Lytechinus pictus: one gene and its partner. The protein of the gene in region 1 binds, or shares a complex with, the protein of each later gene. Links are inferred from orthologs where the notes say so. Each region holds a gene or a part of one and is shown in the gene's direction. Other genes may lie near its edges. The genes, in order: COP9 signalosome complex subunit 7b-like and COP9 signalosome complex subunit 8-like.

Region 1 (12,010 bases):
AAATGGCGGCCGACCCGATGGTCAAATCGCTTGGGGCCGGCAATTTTTGAAATCAGCGCCCAAAAATACCCCTGTATGCCAAATTTCACACTTTCTGCCAGATCCGAGCATCTTGGCCATTTTTTGTCCCATAACCGCTCCACTACATACTCTGAACAGTTAAAGGAGAATGAAACCTTTGGAACAAGATAGCTTGTGTGAAAACAGAAAAATCAAAGAAACAGACCAACAAAAGTTTTTGAAAAATCGGACAAATAATGAAAAAGTTATGAGCATTTGAATATTGTGATCACTAATGCTATGGAGATCCTCATATTGGCAATGCGACAAAGATGTGTGATGTCACTTGTGAAAAACTCTCCCCATTACTTAAGTTTATATTTCACTTAAACTGCCTCTTTTATCACATCTATCAGTAGATCATGTGTTCTTTCTATAGGAGGGCATGTGATACAGATTTTTAAAGAATACATCATGGATAAATAGTTTGTATCACCATAAGAAAAAGCAAAAAGACACATTTTGGGGGTATTTTATAGTCCATCAAAGGGAAAGTTGTTTACATGTGACATCACACATCCTTGTCGCATTGCCAATGGGAGGATCTCCATAGCATTAATGATTGCAATATTCAAATGCTCATAACTTTCTCATTATTTGTCCGATTTTTCTCAAACTTTCTTTGTTCTTATTCTATGATTTTTCTGTTTCGACACAAGCCTAATTGTTCCAAAGGTTTCATTCCTCTTTAAGGACTCGAATGAAGAATTCAAAGGGGCTAGGTTATTTTTGAAAAAAAAGGCACCTAAAAGGAAAGGCAGAGCTCACTTGAGGGGGCATCCGATGCCAATAAGAAAGGCCTCAATAGTAAAATATACTTTTTAATGTGAGACATGCACCTGGTTCCCGCAGGGCACCAAGGCTCAATGAAACTCGGTATAACACACATTATATCCTACATAAATTAATTCCTGTATGCTGATTGGTGTAAATAGCATCATGTGACCAAACATATTCTCACTATTTTGCGATGATGTTGAATATGAAATGCCCACTGAAGAGAATTTACTATTTCGTAAATTCTCTTCAGTGGGCGTTTCATTTTCAATTTGGGAAAAGTGCACTCTTCCTTGATTTACGTCACAGATCGCGCAATCTCTCGGGCACAGGCACAAATGCGTGTTCCGCTGAGTGCGTAGCTTCATGAAAAGTAGGTCAGTCAGCGCAGCGCGTTATCCATATTTTGGTTCAGAATTTAAAAAAGATGAAACTACGTGTACAAGAACAAGATTATCAAGATCTGTTCTAACTTATTAAATGTAGGATATAAAATAAATATACCAGGCCTTTATTTCGAAAGAATAGAGGGAATTATTAATCCTCGGTTGTACTGGAAAAATAGTACTGCCAGTCCACCAATAATTTACGCTGTACATACTAAAAAGCCTGTGATATTATATGTTCATGTAGCTGACATACTGTGTATATTTAGATTCTCAATGGTTATCATTTTGAATGCTTACAAAAACCTAATTCATTGAATAATTGCTATCAAATTTCATTAAATTTCTTTCCTACTGTGTTTATCTTACAGTTCAGCAGGTGCCATCTCTGCGACCTTTGACCCTGCCCTCACGATACCGGCGGACGATTCTGATGACGAGTCGAGTGAGTCCGAGCTGAGCGGAGATGACGTGTTCAGTCGAGGTTCAAACAGAGGATCGAACAGGAGATCGAGGAGAAGAGGGAGCATTGATTCGGAACATCAAGATTCTTCCTCATGGCTCTCATGGTGTTCATTAATATAAAATCATTGTGGTTTGGTCATCTCTTCCTTGTCTCAAATACTCATATTGGAAATGGCATTATTGGGGTGGGGTAGCGTAGGAAGGATGACAGGCGATTTCACCCTCATCCCAGCCTATTTAATCCCCAAAACTCCCAAATGGAATGCTTTCATTTGGGTTCAACCGTCTTTTCTTGAGTCGCCCCAAGATCTGCCACAGACAGTATTGTTCTAACAATACAGCAGAATTATGATAGTTGCATTCACGGCATAATAACTTGTGCAAAATATACAGCCCTTAAAATGAATGAAATGGCACCCCCGGAATCCAGTATTCGCCCCAATGTGAATATAAACGTAGCCCCCCCCCCCCCCCCCCGGAATTATTTCCTACCCTCGTGTGTGTGTGTGTGGGGGGGGGGGAGAGGGGGTTGATAACACACTGTTTTGTTGACATTGGTCATAAATGTGTGTACTTCAGAATTATGGATGGCCATATGCTATTTTCATATATAAAGAGATCTCATATAATGCATTCATGATAGGGAGTGGTATTGACAACCTCGGTGTCATTTTTAGTTTAATAACGAGCTAGATGCAGTTTAAATGAAATAGGAACATATAGGTGTATTAACATGAGCGAGCTGCTTTAGAATGATGCATTAATATTACATTTACTAAGTAAACTTCCAGCCAATGTGTAGATAGGTCACAGATGATTAATCTGTTTGATACACATAGCAATACCAGTATTATGTCCAATATAAATGTAATCTTATCCTGATTGCTGTTTTGAGAAGTAAGATGAAAAATTGGAATGTATTGTGCAAGTATTTCTTTATAGACTTTATGTAAATATGGATGTAAATAGCTGCAAAGTTTATCAATTATGAAATTATATTATTGGCTTGAGAGCAAGAAAGGAGTGTAAAGCTTTGATGTCTATCAATATTGAGGTGCATCTTTTGATGTTCAATATTCTTTAGCTAAATTTGTGAGATATTTCCTATTTTTGAGCAAGCGCCATGAGCGCCCAGCTGAGGTGGATACCGGCGCTATACAAGAAACCATCATCATTAAATATATTTATCATTTCTTATTTCCAGTGATCTGGGGCCAAATTCATATTACTTACATCTCTGGTAACAGTCAGTCCGCAAGCCCCTGTGTTAATGAGCAAATGAGCAAGATTTATCCAAGTCCTCTCGTGGCTGAATTCATGTCCCTGCAAAATCTCGTGAATTGTGAGACTTTCTTTCTCAAAGAATTTAACCACTTTCTCCTTGAGTAATATTGATTATTTTTGTACCATGGGCAAGAGTAAATGTTACCCTTTTATATTGGTCATTTCTTTTGAATGAAATATTTTGATAAATAAGTGAATTTTTCACCTGAAAAGATGCATCAAACAGAATTTTCTTCATCTGTTTTCACTTGCAAATTGTGCAACATTTTGTGTTTTAGGCACCAACATTATTTATATCATCAGAAAGCTCAAACTCTGTACTTTCTTACAATGTCACTCGTGATATGTGGCATCTTTTAGATGGGTCAGCAGCCAGTTATTTCCATCAAGATGCAAGACGAGATTTCTGAAATTTCTGAGTAACATAAAATCCAGAGTTCTGATTGGCTGAATATTGTTTTCAAAACAAACAGGCGCGAGTAATTTGAAGAGATTACCACATGGTGAGTGTGACCTTGCAGAGGCCCAGTGTGGGGAACATTGGAATTTGCGTGGGTGTGTGGTCTATGACCAATCAGAGCGCAGTATTCTTGTTTTTGAGCTGCAAAATGTACTTGGCCTATGAAAAGCTGGCTGCTGACCCATCTAACATACATCTTCTTATAAAAATTATATCATATTAAAGCTTAGATCTTCAGCTTTATCATGATTTAAAAATCATTTGTGCCTAAACAGAAATTAAGTGTGAAAACAACAACTTTTGTTGCATGAAAACCATTATTTCATGTTTTAGATCAAAAGTTTCCCCTATATTACAACATTCTTTTAAAAATCCAAACACATGACCTAAAAGAAAGATTCTTCTTCTTTACAAAGATACCAAAAACATGAAATTTTGTCAATATTTAGAGCAGCAATGGCCGAATAAAAAGAGGTGTTTTGGTTCGCACCAAGCTCATTAACTATGCAAAAACCCTCTTGTCATGAATATCACTTGGATAAAAGAAGCTACTTTTTCAGGGCTTGCGGACTGACTGTAACATTGTCATTGTAACTACCATGGAAACCTTGAATGTGATTGGCTTCTGAGCCATGTTACCATTCCTTCATTGAAAAAATAATGGTAAAAGTTGTAACTATATGAATTAGGCCCCTGCCCCCCTGGATGTGTTTGTATTTCCGAATTTCAGCTGAAGTTTGACATTTTTCCAGACATTTACACAGAACTTAGTCTATAAGTGTATGAACACTGACCAAGAATCTTCATTCAAAATACATTGTTTGACAGACTACACAATTTTGATTTGAGGGGCATTTACTCTTTCGGCTATGTTCATCTAGCGCTGCGCAGTGGCTGCTGGGCCCATGATCAATTGGCCAAAACGAATTTTTAGAGCGTTTCTATATCAGATTTATATATCGAATGAGAAAAATATGGATATGGAAATATATAAATACCATTGTTTCTTTCTTTAATAGGTCATCATTTTCAGATCTCCCTACATTTGAAATAATAAAAGTAATAAGTTTCATTATCTGTCGTATTTTTCCCCTTTGTGTTCCTTTGGAATTACAAGTACGTCTTCCCAAATCTTATCTCTTGTGACCAAATTAACCTGTTTGAATAAGGGCAACATTTCACTTTGAAGAAGTGAATAACACACATGCTGTGTGTATAAATGTGGCCAGAAAAATTGCTTTGACTTGATCATTTTCAGCTTGTGACATCACAATGGGTTATCGCGTTGGGTCGAGCGAATCCTGACCTTAATTCCAAAAACGTTGGGTCCAGTTTACCTGACCATTTGAGAATTTGGCTATAATTTTCACAAAACATCGGGTAAATTGGTCCCGACCTGTCAGGAATTTAGGGGGGGGGGCCTTTTCTCAAATGGGCGGGTAAACTGGACCCCATGTGGTGGGAATTTAGGCGGTCCCTTTCTCGAATGGTCGAGTTATGCGATTACCGACCTGTCACGATAACCCTATGATTTTGTGATTCATAGGAGGTTGAACTACATGAAGACTTTATTTTCCATATGAATTCTATTCTGTAATTCCCTCCGAGAATTATTAAATTCAGAATTTTTTTTTTGAAAATGCCCCCTCTAATTACAGTACTTTGAATAAGGCATTTTAAAATGTCATTGTGTATTCAATTGTCTTTATATGGATATATTATATTGGTGTTTTGTAGACCAAATTAGCATTCTGTCTTATTTGCGCTGAAAATGTGCCGTGAAATGTGCCATCATTTATAATCATTGTAAATTATGAAATATATTAAATATCGAATGTGCAATTTGTGTTTGAACTTGTTACTAGACTGACTTTTAATTATCGTAGAGAAGGGGGGGGGGGGTGACTGAGGAAAGAGGGGAGGGGTGGAAAAAGAGAAATGGAAGAAAAAGGATGTGGGAGGAAAGGAAATAGTAGGAGAAGCTTAGAAGAAGATTAGTAGAAAGGATCGAGAAAAGGGAAGAAGTAAAGAAATGTGAGAAGTCGAGAATGGAGAGGAGGAAAGGAATGAAAAGATATGAAAGTGGAGAAGTAGAAGAGAATGAAATGGAGAGTGCATGATGAGGAGTGGAATGAAATGGAAGAAATGAAGAGAGGTGAAGAAAGGAGAATGAAATTGAGGAAAGGAGAAATAGAAGAAAAAGAGGATATGAATAAAGAAAAGGAAGAAAAGGAGGACAAGCAAAAACAGAGGAAAATACTATTGTTTTAATCGATCAAGGGCTGGGGTATATCCTACTTTGAGAAAGATTTCAATGACTTGAATGGGTATGTGATCTTATAGAGTAACAGGATCCATTTGCTTCACCTATATCAACTTGTCTGTTTTTTCTTTTTCCTCTTACAGCAAGTTTTTATTTGGGTTGGATTTCTAGTAGTAGACTAGCTGATGTAGGAAGCTCAGAAAGTAAAGCTATCGAGAGGGTGGAGGGCATAGGAAGCGAGAGAGGTAATTAAAGGAGGAAACGATGGAGGAGAGGGGGTAACAAGGGGGGGGGGGTGGAGGCCGTAGATAATGGAGGAGGATCAGGCAAGGAGCCCCATAGGCCTGGGAAGGAGGAAGAAGAGAAGGGGGGGGGCAGGAATTAGGGGCGGGATCAGGAAGAGTGTGGACAAATTGAGGGGAAAAAATATTAGGCTAGGATGATGAGAAGCGCGGAGCTAGAGGAGGCCACATGTTTTGGTTTAATTACTGACTACTAGTACCGTACTTATGTGAAGTTGGACGAACTTTCAAGTGGTATACGAGATGTAGCCAAATCTGGCCATCCGATGATACTAGTGATAGATCACCAAGCAAAATATATGCACGGTTCAGATGCGCATGCGTGCATCCATTAAGATAAGAAGTGCAGCTGTGCCTAGTGTAGCGGATTCTGTCACTGTAAGTTGGTCATTGTTTGCGTTTTAGTTTCCAAAGTAAATAAATAAAAAAAAACATTCTTAATTCTTTAAGGTGAATAAAGATCGATTTATTATTTTAAATGTAATTCTCATACTCTAGAGTCATGTTTTGCTTGTAAAACACGAACGACATAAACCTATCGTTTAGTACAGTCCCATACGCGTATATTTTTGTGGTAAATTCGGCCAGTTTTTTTAAAGAATTTTTTTTGGGGGGCCATTACTTACTAGGCCCACCAATTACGAAGCAAGTCCGACCGACGTCCTGCTCTTCTCCGCACAGCTGATTGGGACGTGGGGTATATCTCAAATCTTTGTCTGAGCGAAATCGCCTCTTAATTCGGACCGTACGCTGGGGCCGCGGCACTCTAGGCGACACCCCAATACTTACCCGTGCTAATAAACTGGGACTCCACTCACGCGCATTTGGGCCGCCCTAGCTTAGAACTAAGCAATATTATCTAGAAATTGTTACATTGTAGTCATGAAATATGTTCTATTAAATAAATTGATAATGTTTAATCGGTACTCACCGGTTCTTTTGTTGCATTTTCAGACCATTTCTCACAATTCTTCGTAAATATCTGCGGCAAATTTTGTCGCCATAGACAGCTTAACATCCATCTTTATTGATAAATGGAGCGCCCTTTACGATAGTTGTTAATGCCGCGGAGAAATCGTTAGGCATTTTGGCCTGTGTTCAAGGCGTAGCTGTTCTATTTTTTTTTATAGGTATGAGATCGAAATCACAGCGAGTATTTACACTCTTCCATAATGATTCCGAAAGGGAGGCGCAACACCCCCCACCCACAGGGGCGCAAATTCCAGGGGGACATGTCCCCCTCACCTAGAATAGTAGGGGGACACATTATGAAATGTCATCCCCCTACTATTTTGGGTCTTTTCATTCAAAATCGAAATAAAATATGTATTTTGGAAGAGACGATCTTACTTTTGGGGTGCCCTTTTTTTTTGCTTGTTTGCTTATCAAATTTCTTTTGGTCAAGATGACCTTCTTTTTGGGGTGATAAACCTTCTTTTTTGTTTTTGTTTGTTTGTTTTTTTCTTGTCAAATTTTCCAGCCCCTGGTCCCGGCTACCTTTAGGGAGAGATTTCCGCCCTTGCCTAACAGTACACTTGATATTGTTTGCGAATCTGCGTGGGCGTCGGGGGCTGGGGGATGAGGAAAAGCGGTGAGACGAGAAAAAAAAATAGAAGGAAAAAGAGGACAGAAAAAAAAGTGAACGAAAGAAAAATTAATGGAAAATAAAAGGGAGGAGAAAATAGTGAGAAAAGTGATGGGTAGGTCGAGATTTTATGTGTCCGTGCAAAAAGAAATGAGCAGAGGTTGAGATGTTGTCTGTTTGGGCAAATGTCTGTCTGTTTGTTGGACTGGCGCCTGTTGCAAAAATTATTAAGCTGATGGAATCAGAAAGTTCCAACTGCTTCATGTCATACCGACAGTGACAGGATTAAGCGGTTGTATATATAAATCACGCTCTAAAACTGTGTTCTTTATTAAAAAGTTGTCCTTCATATCCATTTTCGCAAAAGAATATCAAGTTTTCAATTAATTGTCTATAGTTATCCTGTTTATGATAAAAATACTTAGAAATTGGGTTAGGTTAGGGTTATCAAATTATCGGGGCAGAAAATATATTTTTTCAGTTCGCGCGTCGAGCTGGCATTAGTGATCAGTGAGATTATGTTTTTAATGACATTCATTCTATTCACAGCAATATATTATTAAACATAGCCGCATGAATTATAGATAGGTCTATAGTTATCAGGTGAATAATTTACCGCTACACACTGATCATGCGGATACTGTTTTGTAAAGGGGAATTTCACCTTGATAAAAAGATTGTGAAAATATAGGCCAAAGAAAAATAATTTCAAAACATAGGTGAAGGTGTTATTAAAAAAAAATGGAGTTAGTAGAATTTCGAATGCTTGATTTGTGACGTCATAAACGAACAGTTGCTCAATATTCTATGTAATACAAAATGCAAAAATTTCCCATTTTTAATGGACCGTAATGACCCACTTTTTTCTTTTTGGAGAGAGTATGAAGTTATCTATTGACATACTGAATGTACAATAAAAGTCATTATCACGTATTTCTTGACATTTCATTTACTTTTTACCATAATTATATCCGATATAGCTGCTCGCAAAGGCCTACGCCGTCACAAATAATTATTTAAAAAATCTCACCTTTAATTATTTTTTGGTGGGGGATGGATTTTTCCTGAACGCATACCAATTTTTCAAATTATTTTTTCTGCTATTTTCATAATTAACTTTAAATAAATTCACCTATGCACTACTTAATTTTTTCAAAGACAAAATAACAAAATTACATCTAGTCTTCATCATCACCATCATCACCAACTTCATTCTCATCATAATCACCACTACCACCATCATTATCATCATCATCATCATCATCATCATCATCATCATCACCGCCACCATCACCACCACCATCATCATCACCAAGATAATTTTCATCATCATCATCTTTCTTTTTTTTTCTTTTTTTTTCCCCTTCCCTTCTTCTTTTTTTCCTTCCTATTTTCCTCCCTTTTTAGAGGGGCACACCACCAAATAAATATGTTTGTTGTTGTTGTATATAAGTTGGCGGATGCCTCATGAAATGAAATAAAAGAGAAAATAAGGAAATGGAAAAAGTAAGAAGAAGGATAAGAAGAAAAAAAGAAAGCCAAACAAACAAGACAAAATAATATCAAAATTTTGTAATAAAGTCAGTCTGTTTAATAATTATGTTTTCAATGAAATGAGACATAAAAGAATTGAAACAAGTAAAAAGGGCTACATCATAGTTAAAAGAAATAGAGGGAAGCTCCGAGACAATAAAAAGTGTTTAAAAAATCAGAAAAGACTTTGAAACACTCTGAACACGAGTATGATATATAAAAAAATTGGGAATAAGCGAGGACAAGTAGGTGAGGGACCCCCCCCCCCTCTCTCTCTAGTTATTTACTCAAACTCGCATATACAAGAGAAGAAATTCTTACTAATCAAAATATTGTGAGCAAAAAGCATGAGCTGACATTTTTTTTAATATTCAAAACTGATAGAGAGACACATTTTGAACAATTCATGAAACATAATAATCATTCATTATAGTTACCAATCGGATTGCGACAAGATCTGAGAATTAGAAATTCATTAAAAGCATAAAATTGTATAACATTAAAATAAGACGGGCGCAACGCATGAGCTAAAGCTTTATATACCAATTAAAAATTTGGACATTTTTAGCGCTTTCGGTAGTCATGAAAAAGATTCATATTTCATGAAAGCTCAAATCCCGAGGAGGAATATTTTTTATTAATTGACTTAAAAAAGGCTGTTCTAATTAAGCCCCATTTAATATTTGATTACAAGTCTCGTTAAACAGTAAAAGAGGAAAAAATAAAGCATATTGTGTTCCTCAATTCTCTTTCTCTTTAACCCTATTTTTTTTTTTTTTTTTTTTTTTTTTTTTTTTTTGGGGAGGTATTTTGGTAAAAAAAAAAGAGAAAAAAACGATAATTGCTGGCTAGTGGGTGTATAGTGGTAGGGACACCCCACCCCCACCCCCCCCCCCGTAGTTACACAAACATGGGACCAAATGATCCTACTTGTTCCAAGGCGAAACTTGTGCAATCAATTAAATGTTATTTTTGAGAAAATTAAAGCTTGCGCTGTTTAAATTCAATCTCTTTCACCTAAATTTGCGATGAATGCTAGTATTATGAAATATATAATTATCAACGTCTGGCGAAAAGAATAACCAACCGATCAGCTGACGAGAACGCGTATCACGTGATCTGCATATCAGCTTCGATCGCGAGTCAGAAGTGAAGAGTAACTGGCAATAAAATCTGGAAAAAGTCGTCAAAATGTAAGTTCCCCTTCATTTCTTTCAATTTTTTTTTATTGCTAACAATGCTTTAACTTTCTTAAACAAAAATTTAATGAATAGACAGTACGATAGCTCGTACTTGTGTTATAATACACAAATAATCATCTTCACAAAGATTTCTGACACAAAATACTACAGATGTCGCCTATGAGGTCCATACATGTAATGTTTGGACCTCATTGGTACTAGGAGTGGGGCCGCGGCACTCTAGGCGACACCCCAATACTTACCCGTGCTAATAAACTGGGACTCCACTCACGCGCGTTTGGGCCTCCCTAGCTTAGAACTAAGCACTAATATCACCTTAAAAACTAAATCTACAAGGTATGTATAATCTATTTACAACTTTAATAATGTTTAATCGGTACTCACCGGTTCTTTTGTTGCATTTTCAGACCATTTCTCACAATTCTTCGTAAATATTTGCGGCAAATTTTGTCACCATAGACAGCTTAGCATCCATCTTTATTGATAAATGGAGCGCCCTTTACGATAGTTGTTAATGCCGCGGAGAAATCGTTAGGCATTTTGGCCTGTGTTCAAGGCGTTCTTTCTGTTTTATTTTTTATATTGAAGATTGTGCATTTGTTGAATAGCGCCGTCTACGTCAGGTATGAGATCGAGTGTATAAATACACTCTTCCAAAATAATTATGATTCCGACCTGGCGCTGTTTAACTTCAATCTCTTTCACCTAAATTAGCGATGAATGCTAGCATTATAAAATATATATTATTAACGTCTGACGAAAAGAATAACCAACCGATCAGCTGACGAGAACGCAAATCACGTGATCTTCATATCAGCTTCGATCGCGAGTCAGAAGAGAAGAGCAGCTGCCCAGAAAATCAGGAAAAAGCCGTGAAAATGTAAGTTCCCCTTCATTTCTTTCATTTTTTGTTGTTGCTAACGATGCATTTACACTATAAAATTATAATTTAAATAAGAGAAAGGAATATAGCTTGTACTTGTGATATAATGTATAAATATCCTGTTCTCAGAGATTTCTAACCAAAAATACTACTGATGTCGCCTATGAGGTCCATACATGTAATGTTGGACCTCATTGGTACTAGGAGTGGGGCCGCGGAACGGTTTTCAAACTCAAGTAAAAGTGGGGGGGCTGACCATGCTAAAAATCACAATCATATGGTCATTTTTACGTTTTTGTACACGGTTTTGGAAAAAAGTGGCGGGGCTGAAGCCCCCCCAGCCCCCCCCGCTTCCGCGGCCCCTGGTACGAACCGTGAGCCGAGTGTGCAGCTGCAATAGTGCAAAGGCCAAAGCCGGGTCATCTTCTGGTCTTGTGTAGCCTAGCCAGGCGGCTTCTTGAGAGTAAAAATCATTTACTAACGTAGGCTTACTCAATGAAGCCAGGGAGTCCTTCCTATTCACCTACACGAAGGACCCCAAAACCTGAAACTTTCACCCCCGAGATTTCTACTTTCCTTCTAAAAGATCTAGCTCTAAATCATGTACATGGGATAAAACTTCATTTCCGACATTTCTATGCTCTCGTTGTTATTTTTAAACAAGAATTCATCAAAAAAATGAAAAAATATTGTGAAAAGACGGAAGAGACTTGCCCGATGTTTACGCCGCCATCTTGTTTCTTATTGTAGTTCCCCAACGTTACGCGATGCTCGCGTCCGTAACGTTGACGCTGCCCGAGTGCCTGAAAT
Region 2 (12,686 bases), on another chromosome or scaffold:
GTAGTAGAAGAGTCTAGACTCTCAGCTTCAGACATGGTCTCTGCGGCCTCATCATCCTTCAGCACATCCCTGCGGTCTTTGAACAAAGAAATATCAGGATTTAATGATCATACTTAGTCCCTTCGGGTGAACACTCAATATTGGAGACTCTCCTATTAGAGGACGCTGGTGCATGTATCATTACTATCACAAATTTCTGCAAAGTGTGGTAGATTTGATTGGTATTTAAAAAGCTAGATTTGTCTGTTTACCAATTTCTTCTATCTTTCATGTAACATGGAAGACTTACCTGAATACCCCATGCATTTTTTTTTCTAAAACTTAGTACATGATTCAAACTGAGCTGAAACCTCTTCAGATAATATTTTACGGTGACTTATTCAAATAAACATTAGTTATATCTACACTCAAATGCAACCTGAACAAAAATTATATATTGAGGTATTCACTATCTAGTCACTGCTCGTCATTGTACTAGGCAGGACTAAAGTACATGTATGCCAATGCTCTGGAGCGGACTACATAAACTAGCACATCAATGATGTGGAGCTCATCCGGCATCTCGCAACGAAATTTAACACAATTTTAATTTCAGCCCAGTTACACTGTAGTGAATTACATTGGTGACATAAATTGAGAATATAGAATTGAAATTGATGAAGAAATGACATAGAAGCATTTTTTGTGATCTATGAATAAATTTCATATATATTAAGCATAAATAATTTTCTAGTCAAAATTTCTAAACTCTGTGTAGAACCTTGTTGAACCTCATGTAGCTCTCAGATGAAACAAAAATAATCAAAATCAATCTACAAATTAAATAAGTATTTTTTGTGAGTTTTGAAAATATATGAATAAATTTGCATATTTAATGAGTAAGTTTCAAAATTCTGTGTTGAAATTTTGTATCTCCACCTTGAGCTATCATATAAAGCAACAAAATTGAAATTGATCAATAAATGAAGAAGAAAACACGTTTTTTGTGATTTATGAATAAACTTTGCATAAATTAGCATAAATAATTTTCTAGACAAAATTTCAAACTTTTGTGTACAAGTTTGGTGAACCTCATGCAGCTCTACCAGATGAAAGAAAACAAATTAAGAAGAGGCATTTTCTGTGATTTATTAATAAATTTTGCATAAATTAGCATAAATAATTTTCTACTGAAAATTTCAAAATTCTGTGTAAAAGTTTGTTGAACCTCATGAAGTTCTACCAGATGGAAGAAAAAAGAATCAAAATCGGTCAACAATTAAAGAAGAAGCATTTTATGTGAATTTTTAAAGACGCATAAATTAGCATATTTAATGAGTTTCAAAATTCTGTGTAGAATTTTTGAATCCCCCACCTAATGCTATCATATAAAGCAAACAGAATTGAAATCAGACTTGAAATGACCATTACGAAAATACCCCATTTGAGGCGTCACCGCAGTTCGGATCGCAAACTGCGGTTTTAGACCCCATTTTTCATTTGAAACTCTCATTTTTCATTTGAACATTTCCAAGCCCCGATAAACCCATCTTGGCCAGGTAATCCCCGTTGTCTCAATTTCACCTCCACAGGCCAGTAAAGCCAAGGACGAAATGATAAACAACAGCTGTGCTATTACGTAAGACTTCTCTGCCTGTAGAAGGACCTTCGGAATGAAATTATTGTATTCGATATTTAATCACGTTTCCAAAGGCATATTGTATTCAGACATCCAATATTAGTCCTTTTTCAATTTCGAACGAAGAAAATCGACCTCGAAATAAGGAAAATAAGCGAATAAAAATTACGGTATGCTTTGCATGCAGGGACCGCCCTCAGCGCTGCGATGCATCCCATAGTTTCTGTCCGTCCAGCAAGAAAATATGGGATGCATGCCGTTCACTCGCGCATTGATACAGTCCTAACGTTGGAAAAAAAAAACAGCCAGACAGAAAGAAAGAAGGAAAGAAAGAAAGAAAGAAAGAAGGAAAGAAGGAAAGAAGGAAAGAAGGAAGGAAAGAAGGAAAGAAGGAAAGAAGGAAGGAAAGAAGGAAAGAAGGAAGGAAAGAAAGAAAGAAAGAAAGAAAGAAAGAAAGAAAGAAAGAAAGAAAGAAAGAAAGAAAGAAAGAAAGAAAGAAAGAAAGAAAGAAAGAAAGAAAGAAAGAAAGAAAGAAAGAAAGAAGGAAAGAAGGAAGGAAGGAAGGAAGGAAGGAAGGAAGGAAGGAAGGAAGGAAGGAAGGAAGGAAGGAAGAAAGAAAAGAAGAAAGAAGAAAAAAGTTGCACTTGTTATCTTCGGACCGAGGTCAAGAAACAGGTGTTTTGATACTTAAATGGCTTGCTTGGAACAGTCCGGGCTTATAGTACTTGGAGAAGAGAATTGGTGAAAAAGAAACTGGGGTATAGTATTCTCAAATGGAGGTTTTTGTCATGACGAAGAAGAAGCATTTTGAAATTCAGTCAACAAATAAAGAAGAGGCATTTTCTGTGATTTATGAATTTTGCATAAATTAGCATAAATAATTTTCTACTCCAAATTTAAAAATTCTGTGAAGAAGTTTGGTGAACCTCATGAAGCTCTACCAGATGGAAGGAAAAAAAATCAAAATCGGTCAACAAATAGAGAAGAAGCATTTTATGTGAATTTTTAAAAACATGCATAAATTAATTTTGCATAAATTAGCATAAAAATTGTTCTAGTCAAAATTTCTAAATTCTGTGTAGAAGTTTGGTGAACCTGATAAAGCTCTACCAGATGGAAGCAAAAAATTCAAAATCGGTCAATAAATAAAGAAGCATTTTTTGTGAATTTTGAAAAATGCGCATAACTTAGAATATTTAATGAGTTTCAAAATTCTGTGTAGAAGTTTTGAATCCCCCACCTAGTGCTATTCATATAAAGCAAACAGAATTGAAATGGCGAAGAAGCATCATTTTGAAAATGTGGACGGACGACAGACAGAAGCCAGACGATGGACGCCACGGCATAAGCTCATCTGGCCCTTCGGGCCGGATGAGCTTAAAACAGGGGTCTCTGGAACTCATTAGATCGTAGGCGGACGTAATTGGGTAGCAGCTACATGTATGTAAAAAAACGTGCGGGCGTCTTGCTAGATTCGTATTGAGCCAGCACAAGCAAGCTGCGGCCGGTGCGGGGAGCTTCAGCGGGCCGGCATAATGGCTCCGCGCCGATAGAGCTCGCCACTCTGACTGGCTGAGTAAATCATGACAGGCGCTCTCTGGAGCGAGAAATCACGAATTTGAGGGTCTCCGGAATTCGGAACGGGAAAAATGGGAATTTCTATCTACATGTATGGCCTGGCTTTCTGAATTGGCAGTAGAGGCGCACGGCCAACATGGGAGACTCTCTCCAATATGGGAGACAACCTCCTATATTGAAGACTTGCTTTGCAAAAAATAAAAGAAACAAGACCAACAAAAGCATAATTTTTTCCACCCAAAATATGTTCTCACTAGGCAGTGCTGCACCAGCCCGAGTTTGTTCAATCTCAAGATTTTAGCCCGATCGGCCCTCTTCGCGATTAATCTCGAGATTCAAGAAATCCACCGTCGCAAGAAGAGCGATTCCTGCTCGAGTGAGGCATCATGGTCTGACGCCGTGCATAAATAATCCTGAGTGCGTCTGCACCTGCGAATTAGCAGGATAATTTGTGAATAGTGCGCTATTTTGCAAACATTAAGTTGCATTTTGCAAATAATAAGTTGACTTGGGATTGCAATCTCAGGATAGCAAACTAGCGTGATAATTGCGTCTCCATTACAAATAATCTTGAGAATTCATCGAGATTGTTCAGATCGGGATAGTTTGCCGGATCAGAAATAGCGCGCCATTTTGAAAACTCGGGCTGCATGGTGCAGACGGCCCTACTGATGTCAGAAGACAGAAGCCCATTTGTTTTAAGTGTGGATGACAACAAAATCGTTCAAAAGTAGACAGTGAATTTTTATAGACGGTGAAAAGGGGTTATATTTTTCATGAGGAATCTGCCCGGGGGGCCACTTCCATTGACGAGTGAATACCATGCGCGACCATGGGGTCTTGAAAAGCACCCTAAACACATATTTTCCATATTCTAACAAGTGGAACGCCTCTGGCAGTCTCGCCTGCATTACGCAATTTAATATAGCAGCAGTGCTAACTTTGAAAACTACTATAAAATAATCATTCACAAAAACATCATTCATATAATGACATAATACCACGTTCATTGACCATAAATGACATTTGAACGGAGACTTAAGACTGTCAACTACACCCATGTCCACATTTCATTCACTCTAATATCCATAAACTTTCAAAGTTATGATGGCACTTCAACAATTACCCCAACATGGCCTAAGTTTATTGACCTTAACTGACCTTTGACTTGGTTTTGTGACCTGAAACTCACAGGGGATGTTCAGTGATACTTGATTACTCTTATGTCCAAGTTTTATGAACTAGATTCATAAACTTTCAGAGCTAGAATGGTAATTTAACATACCCCCAACACGGCCAAAGTTCATTGACCTCAAATGACCATTGACCATGGTCATGTGACCTGAAACTCGCACAGGATATTCAGTGGTACTTGATTTACCTAATGTCCAAGTTTCATGAACTAAATCCATAAATTTTTAAAGTTACATGTATGATGGTAATTCAACAAATACCCCCAACTTGGCCAAAGTTCATTGACCCTAAATGACCTTTGACCTTGGTCATGTGACCTGAAACTCAGGCAGGATGTTCACTAATACTTGATTAACCTTGTGTCCAAGTTTCATGGACTAGATCCATAAATTTTCAAAGTTATGAAAGTAATTCAACAAATACCCCCAACTTGACCAAAGTTCATTGACCCTAAATGACCTTTGACCTTGGTCATGTGACCTGAAACTCGAGCAGGATGTTCACTAATACTTGATTAACCTTATGCCCAAGTTTCATGAACAAGGTCCATATACTTTCTAAGTTATGATGTCATTTCAAAAACTTAACCTTCGGTTAAGATTTGATGTTGACGCCGCCGCCGCCATCGGAAAAGCGGCGCCTATAGTCTCGCTCTGCTATGCAGGCGAGACAAAAATGCACCCCTTAACGAGTATTGACGTATGAAACTACCTTTAACAAGTATTGGAAACAAATTTAACAAAACGATACTCTTGTCAAGTATTCCCTGAATTGAACCCCGGACAAGTACAGCGATATTTCAATTGTTATGTCACGGACGACGTCGGTCGTCGGTTTTCTCTTTACCTACATAATTGGGTGTACAGCCCCTCCTCCCCACACGTAAACTCTAAACACGTAATGTTGACTCTTGGGGCAAAAAGTACATCCTTTATAAAACATTTGTGTCTTAATTTTTTTATACCCTCGCAAATTTGACCCTAAACACGCAGCTTTACTAGCGAAAATAGATACCTTTTTTCATCATTTTAGTGTTTTTGACACCCTTATTACGTTACGTACGTAACGTGCCCCATCTTGAAAAAGACATCCTTTTTACGTGTTTTTTTGGTCGCGCATGGTATCCACTTGTCAATTGTAAGTGGCCCCCCCGGCGGAATCTGCTTATCACATTTTAATTTGCCGTAATCCTTTAGCAGCAAATGTAAACAAAGGATATTGGTCTCCCAAACTGGAGACTGTCTCTGACATTGGATAGGGGCATACCCAAATTCTTTACATAAGTCTCTGATATTGGAGATAATCTCCCAATGACAATGTCATGACTCATCATGGGAGACTCCCAATTAGCCGTGCGCCTCTAATGAATAAGGTTTATTTTATCGCTAATCAGAACCGCAATGCGTTATGGGGTGGAAAAGGGGCAAGCAAGCTGTCTGCAGAGCTAGCTAACTTGCCCCCTTTTCTATCCCATAAATAATGCACTGCGGTTCTGATTAACGATAGCTATACTAGACTTGATCTCTAAAGACTAAACCTTGCTTAAGTTGTTATGGTGTATTGGTGATGCTATGGAACTGAAATTTAGGCTAAAAATTGGGGTCTCAACCGCGGCACTGACACACATATCTAGACAGCTGGCAGCCGTCTGTTTCGAGGAGTTTTTTAACATTTTTTTTCTCCTCATACACAGACGGCTCGCTATCGTGCAGCCACCATTAGGGGGTAAACAATGAAAAATCCCCCCGATGGGGCTCATAGGTTTTTTGTCTTTATTTCATAAAAATATATAAAAAGAACTGGACCAAAATAAATATTGCTATTCCGTTTTGGCCTGAAATGCACCAAAACGGGGAAAAATAAACTTATTATACAGTAGAGGCGCACGGCCAATATTGGAGACTGTCTCCAATGTGGGAGATTATCTCCAATATCAGAGACTTTTGTAAAGAATTTGGGTATCCAATTTCAGAGACGGTCTCCAGTTTTGGAGTCGAATTTCCTTTGTTTACATTTGCTGCAAAAGGATTACCTTGGCGGCAAATAAAAATGTGATAAGCAGATTCCTCATGAAAAATTACCCCTTTTCACCGTCTACTTTAAATATTCACCGTCTACTTTTGTTTTGATAAGGATTTTTGTTGTCAATCACACACAAAACAAATGGGCTTCTGACCTCAGTGAGACAAAATTTTGGGTGGAAAAAATCATGCTTTTGTTGGTGTTGTTTCTTTTGTCCTTTTGCAAAGCAAGTCTCCAATGTGGGAGATTGTCTCCCCTATTGGAGAGAGTCTCCCATATTGGCCGTGCGCCTCTACTGTTATAAGGGGAAAAAACCACTCCCACGTATTGCGAGGTTAGCATTAGTATACTAACCTCGCACCACGAACCGCGTTTGGCAGTGGATTTCTAACTAGTGGGTCGCGCCTGCTGGGATCTCACTTCTTGGGTCCACAACACACGACTTCAATGGCTTGATTTTTCTGTGCGCGGCGGCATGTAATGAACCCTTGGGTGGGAAAAAACAGTGTTGTTCAGCGGAACAACCAACATAAGAACAGAGACCGAAGCTTTTGGTCTAATATATCATACATTTATACTGAGCTTACACCCCCCCCCCCCGGCAGAACACAAAATGGCCAAGTATGAACATTCATACCAATTACACGGGCATGTACTGAACGTACACCAGGCGATTCAGCTCCTGTGCAATTCATATACTCTCTCACACAGAAACGTGAAATTAACGTTCGATATATGTGTGTGAGAATCGCACGCAATATTTGTGGAACGTAACTTTACCTAACTAAGTTTCAAGTACAAAAAATCATTATCATTGATTGACATTGTCAGAAAATTGTAATTGCATTAAAGTCATGATCGTTAAATAATTCAAGTTACCCATGAATTAATTCCGAATAAGGATATGTATCACCAAATCAAATCAATGAGAGTCAACTCAAGTGGCCGTTTTAATTCTGTGGAGACAGGAATGGATGATGAGCCGCATGCTATCTCTTCTCTTTGTTTTTCTTTCATGTGAACTGGCTCATTCCATTTTTTTCAATCGCTTAGGGTTGGGGGTTCAGTTTTAATTGAAGAATATAAAAGTGAATATAAAGAATGTTTAAAACACATGAAATCGATAAAAACAATATATAATATTACGATATATTTTCGATTAAGTCATATGATATCATTTGTTGACTACCTTTTTAATCATGTTAATATATTATTTAGAGGGGAGTGTAGAGTTTCCAAGGAGGTCCCGTCCCTGAGCCGAGTCTAGTTACCCTCTGTGCTAAATCAACGTACCGGGTATCTGATTTAATCTGATATCCCTAGTCCATCTACCAAAAATGGCTTCTTTTGATGCGATTTCGCTAGTTGAACAGTGCGAGCAGCAAGAATTAGAGGTAGGTTTCCACTATTTAATTTCCAGATAAGACTGTAGAGTAGAATAATGAAATAAAAAAACCTTTCTGGGTTGCTAGGTTCTTTAGTTTAAGTTTTATTTAACCTTGTTGACTTGTGTGAATGGTACCGGCATAGTCGTGAGTGTGGTCCCACATTATTGAAAATTGTGTAAGCCCTCGCCTGGATTTAGATGCAAGTAACTTTTTTAGGGCTATAGGCAGCCTATTAGGCACAATAAAAGAAAAAAAAGAACAGTATTAATTGTTGGGCAGTATTCTGAACATTGTCTTTTCTCCATATTTTGTCTTTTCTCAGAGATCTATGACAAAATTGGTATGTTGATGAACTTTTGTCATTTTCATAAAAAATAATTTTGACTTTTGTCTCGTCTCAAATCGATCTAAGTTATTCTCTCTCCTCCCTTCTGGCTTCTCTTTTATTGTGTGAACCCGAAAAATGTGGCTCTTAAGGACGTTCCACAGTTAAAGTGAAATCCATGTCATTTTCACCAAACTTTACACATAGATACTTTAGAACCTTAATATTCGAAATATGCAAAAATTAACATAGGTCCATGTGCTTGATTTTTTGCTATAGAACTTCAAAGTTCACCCAAATTGATGTTCTTAAGAATTGCGCATTCAAAAGAATTTGGCATTTTTAGACCGCCCAAGATTACTACAATGAGTTTAAACCTGTATTACTCAGTCAAAATACATGAAAAAGTCATCAAATTTCGCAAGAGAGTTAATAATTGTATCGTTAGAATGGAGAATATATTTATAGTGCTATTTGTTTGCAATTTTAAGTTTAACAGCACTGTCAGTTCTTAAAAATGGCGTAAAAGATAACAAAATCCCAATCTAAAAAATGTGAAATTTCAGTAACAAACTACAAAAGTACAATAAATGCTGCACCTTATTCAAAATCCATGTCATTTTCACCAAAATTTGTAGAGTTGTAGAGGAAGGTATACCTAAGAGGAACAGCATTAAAAAATAGGGGTTCATATGCTTGTTTTTAAACTATCAGTATTTTTATTAGAGCAATTGTGCTTTTTAAAACACCAAAAATGCGCCGAATGCTTTGTATCTATGTGAAGAAAAAATCAAAACCACTCTACCATTTATTCAAACTCGGGGTAATATTCGTGATTCTTGGCAGCACTGCAGAGTAAAGTATTTTGAAATTGTAGAAAATCTTTTTTTGAATGGTCCATGGAATAATTCCATTTTTTAGCTTCATGAAATAACGCATCGGATCTGCAGTTAAAGTGCAGAAGATGAGAAAAATCAGCACATACCCGCAGCTAATTAATCACCTGTTCATCCATTGTGACGTCAGCGCGTAGAGTGTAAACTATGCGCAGATCATAATGCGCACAAACATAACTGTGGAACGTCCTTAATGCGCATAATGATAATCCTAATATGCAAGCAAAAGATATGACAAAATTTATGACAGGGTCTTACCGGTCTAGGCTAGCACTATAGCAGTCATACTCATAAATTAAAAAAAATATATATATTGCCTATATAAATTCTACGTGCCTTGAGGCTTGAACGAAACCAGCTGATAAAGCCTTTGTTCGTTTGTCAACAAACTGTAGATCTACACCAAGGTCTATACAATGAAAAGACTGCCCATGGATGCACTGTGCATAGAAAATCACAGGCACAATGCATGCAACGCTTCTATGACTGAGATTGCGTGACATTCTTATGCCTATTCTCTATAAATCACTTTGTTAGTAGGTTCAAACTAGGCTACTGCATAAAACTTACCAAATGATATGAAGTCAATTTCCTGCTTTTTTTAATCTTTCTCTTGATTTCTCCAAATTATTTTTCTTGATGCTCGGGCAAGAGTTTCATATGCACCCCCCACTATAATTGAAAATAAAAACATGGAGAAGGTTCATATTCGTAATGCTTTGCATCAATTTGCATGTAAAATTGTTTCAGTGCTTAGTTTTTCCCTTGTAGTGTCTTTGATATGAATATAAATTGCATGCAATCTTTAGGCAAGAAATTGGTATTCCTTGAGTGGAATCCAACTCTCATAAACATTAAGAAAGATAATCTGTAGAATTTCAAGAAAGAATAAGTAATGTGGCTTCAAATCATTCAATAAGTTCTATAGCAGTACTGGTATTTGAAGTTAAAGTCATTTAGCAAACGATTAATGTGAATAATTGCCAGCCCATCCCATGATGAAATTAAATGTGTTGTGCCTGTGATTTCCATGTGCACAGTGCATGTAATGTTTCCATGGGTGCCTCTAGTCTACTGCCTCTCAGGAGTCTGGGTAGGGGGGTGGAGTCGGGGAAACGGCTATCAATTTGAAACTTGAAGAAGTACTCTCCCAACAAGCATACACGCTGTCCTGGAAAGGGACAGAGGTCCCTTTAATTAATGGCAGTTTTAAAATTCTAATGAAGAACGCGGTCACATAAATTTAGTCCCCTAAAACTCAGGATTACAAAAAAAAAATTGCTTCCCAACTGGGCGTTGTGCGAGTGCGGGTATGGAAGCAGGAGACCGTCAAAAACACGGATATACGTCGTGTCGTAATTCAATTTACTACACGACGTAAATAATTACGTCGTGTAGCAATTCGAATTACTACACGACGTAAATAATTACGTAGTGTAGTAATTCGACTTACTACACGACGCAATTCCGTATTACTGCCCAACGAATTAATGTCATGACGTTAAATGAATTAGTGTCGCTACATCAAATAATTAAGGTCGTGTAGTTATTCGAATTACTACACGACGTAAATAATTACGTAGTGTAGTAATTCCAATTACTACACTACCTAAAGAATTACGTCGTGTAGTAAATAATTACTACACGACGTAATTCCGAATTACTGTTTAACGATTTAATGTCATGACGTTAAATGAATTAGTGTAGTGACGTTAAATCAACCAATGAGATCGTTCGTTATATGAGCGCAATGCGATGAGCTGAGACTACAGAGTATTGTACCGGAAGCGCGTTTCCGTTTTACACCCTGGCGAAGGCATTTTCCGGAAAAATAGCCACAAAGCGACTAGTGAAGAGTCTACGTGTACGTTTGTTTACATAATCAGCTGGGCGCGCGATCCAAAAGTCAGCACTGAAGATATCCCTAGAACATACGTGCTAATGCAGCTGAGCTTATAGACCAAAAGCTTCAGTCTCTGTATTTTGGTTGTTCCGCTGAACTATATACGTTGGCTTCATGATTTTTTTTTTTACTTTATCGCACATGATCGTTTATATGAATGAAAACGAATAATAGCTAAAATATTGAAAAATAAAACACATAAGTACTTTTTTTCATATTATATCTATCCTTATATCTATCCACTACTATCTATGTTATAAATCAATCTATGGAACTACATGATATATCTATCTGTTAATTTGTCTATCTACTCTGTCTCTCTCATTCTCTATCTATCTGTCTATCAATCTATCCATCTAACATCTATCTCTCAAATTATCTATCTATCCATCTGTCTCTCTTTTATTTCTCTCTATCCATCTATTAATCTACTCATGTGCAATATCAACACTGCTTCGACTTCCTTCGGGAGTCTATTTCCTCAGCTCTACTTTTCCCTTTTTTGTGCTCGATTCGATTCAACTACTACTTTATTTACTTGTTACCATTGTTAAATGTCTTGTATTGCATAATGAGTTTTTTTTCTGAAGGTTGCCTCCTATTCTCTTTCAAATTCCACCTCTTGTTTTCCCTTCTCTTTGTCTTATCCCAATTTCTTTCCCTTCTCTCACCTCTTTCTTCTTAATCTTTCATTCCGCTTTTTTCTTCTTTGGTGACACTTTGTAGTACTTTTAGCCTTTTGTATTTATTTATGATACATTTCTTTTTCATCTGTATGAATTTGTATTGTATTTGATATTTATTTATAATGTTTACTTTATATTTTGTTATGATTCTATTTGTATGTAAACATTCACTTATTTCAGTCTTTGACTGCTTGTGATTGTATTTTGATAGTTTTTATTGCAATAAAATCCAATATATAAATATATATATATATATATATATATCTCTCTCTCAAATTCTCTTTATCTATCCATCTGTCTGTCTTTTTCTCTCTCTCTCTGTTTCTCTCTATCCGTCTATCTATCTCTCGAATTCTCTCTATTCATCTGTCTGTCTGTCTCTCAAATTCTCTCTCTCTCTCCATCCATCTGTCTGTCTTTTTCTCTCTATCCGTCTATATATCTATCTCTCAAATTATATCTATATCTATCTCTATCTATCTATGTAACTGCAGTATCTATCTATCTGTTAATCTTCTCTGTCTCTCTCATTCTTTATCTATCTATCCATCTAACATCTACCTCTCTCTCAAATTCTCTCTCTCCCTCTCTCTCTCTCTCCCCCTCTCCATCTCTGAGTTCTCTCCCCCCATCTATCTATCTATACATCTCTCTGTCTTTCTCTCTCTCTCTCTACTTCTATCTATCTATCTATGTATGTCTCTATCTATTTATCAGTCTTCTATATCTATCTTTCGGCATCTAAGTGTATCAATCCATCAAACTTCAATTTTCTTTCTATTATATGTATCTGTTTATTTTTATTTTGTCTGTCATTCTATTCATTTAGTTAATAATTTATATTTAGAAAAAAAACTTTTTCATAACTTTTCATAAAAAATCGTAGCTGCAAAGGCATGTTCGGATTTCACTCATATGACTGCTCTCTGTACATGAAGTGCCGAGGAACTCTATGCTCTGATCAGTAAACTGTGCAGATTGCATGCGGTGGTGTGGGACTCGCCTGTGTCGCACGCTGCAACGGTATACCCGCTGCAACCAGCGACGTGTGTAGACTCTTCACTAGTCGCTTCGTG

Evidence for each region.
Region 2: COP9 signalosome complex subunit 7b-like (region 1) and COP9 signalosome complex subunit 8-like share a complex: the UniProt entries of both Drosophila melanogaster proteins name them as parts of the CSN complex. The link is inferred for Lytechinus pictus from reciprocal best matches to the Drosophila melanogaster genes CSN7 and CSN8.

What each region holds. Positions count from the first base shown.
Region 1 is NC_087258.1:2,859,195-2,871,204, forward strand, and holds the start of COP9 signalosome complex subunit 7b-like, read left to right. Parts: upstream 1-6,090; 5' UTR 6,091-6,309; coding exon 6,310-6,375; intron 6,376-12,010. Other genes in the region: uncharacterized protein LOC129276772, read left to right, coding at 1,595-1,808. UniProt on the Drosophila melanogaster protein: Component of the COP9 signalosome complex (CSN), a complex involved in various cellular and developmental processes.
Region 2 is NC_087245.1:15,642,773-15,655,458, forward strand, and holds the start of COP9 signalosome complex subunit 8-like, read left to right. Parts: upstream 1-7,370; 5' UTR 7,371-7,749; coding exon 7,750-7,806; intron 7,807-12,686. Other genes in the region: MPN domain-containing protein-like, read right to left, coding at 1-76, 7,292-7,295. UniProt on the Drosophila melanogaster protein: Probable component of the COP9 signalosome complex (CSN), a complex involved in various cellular and developmental processes.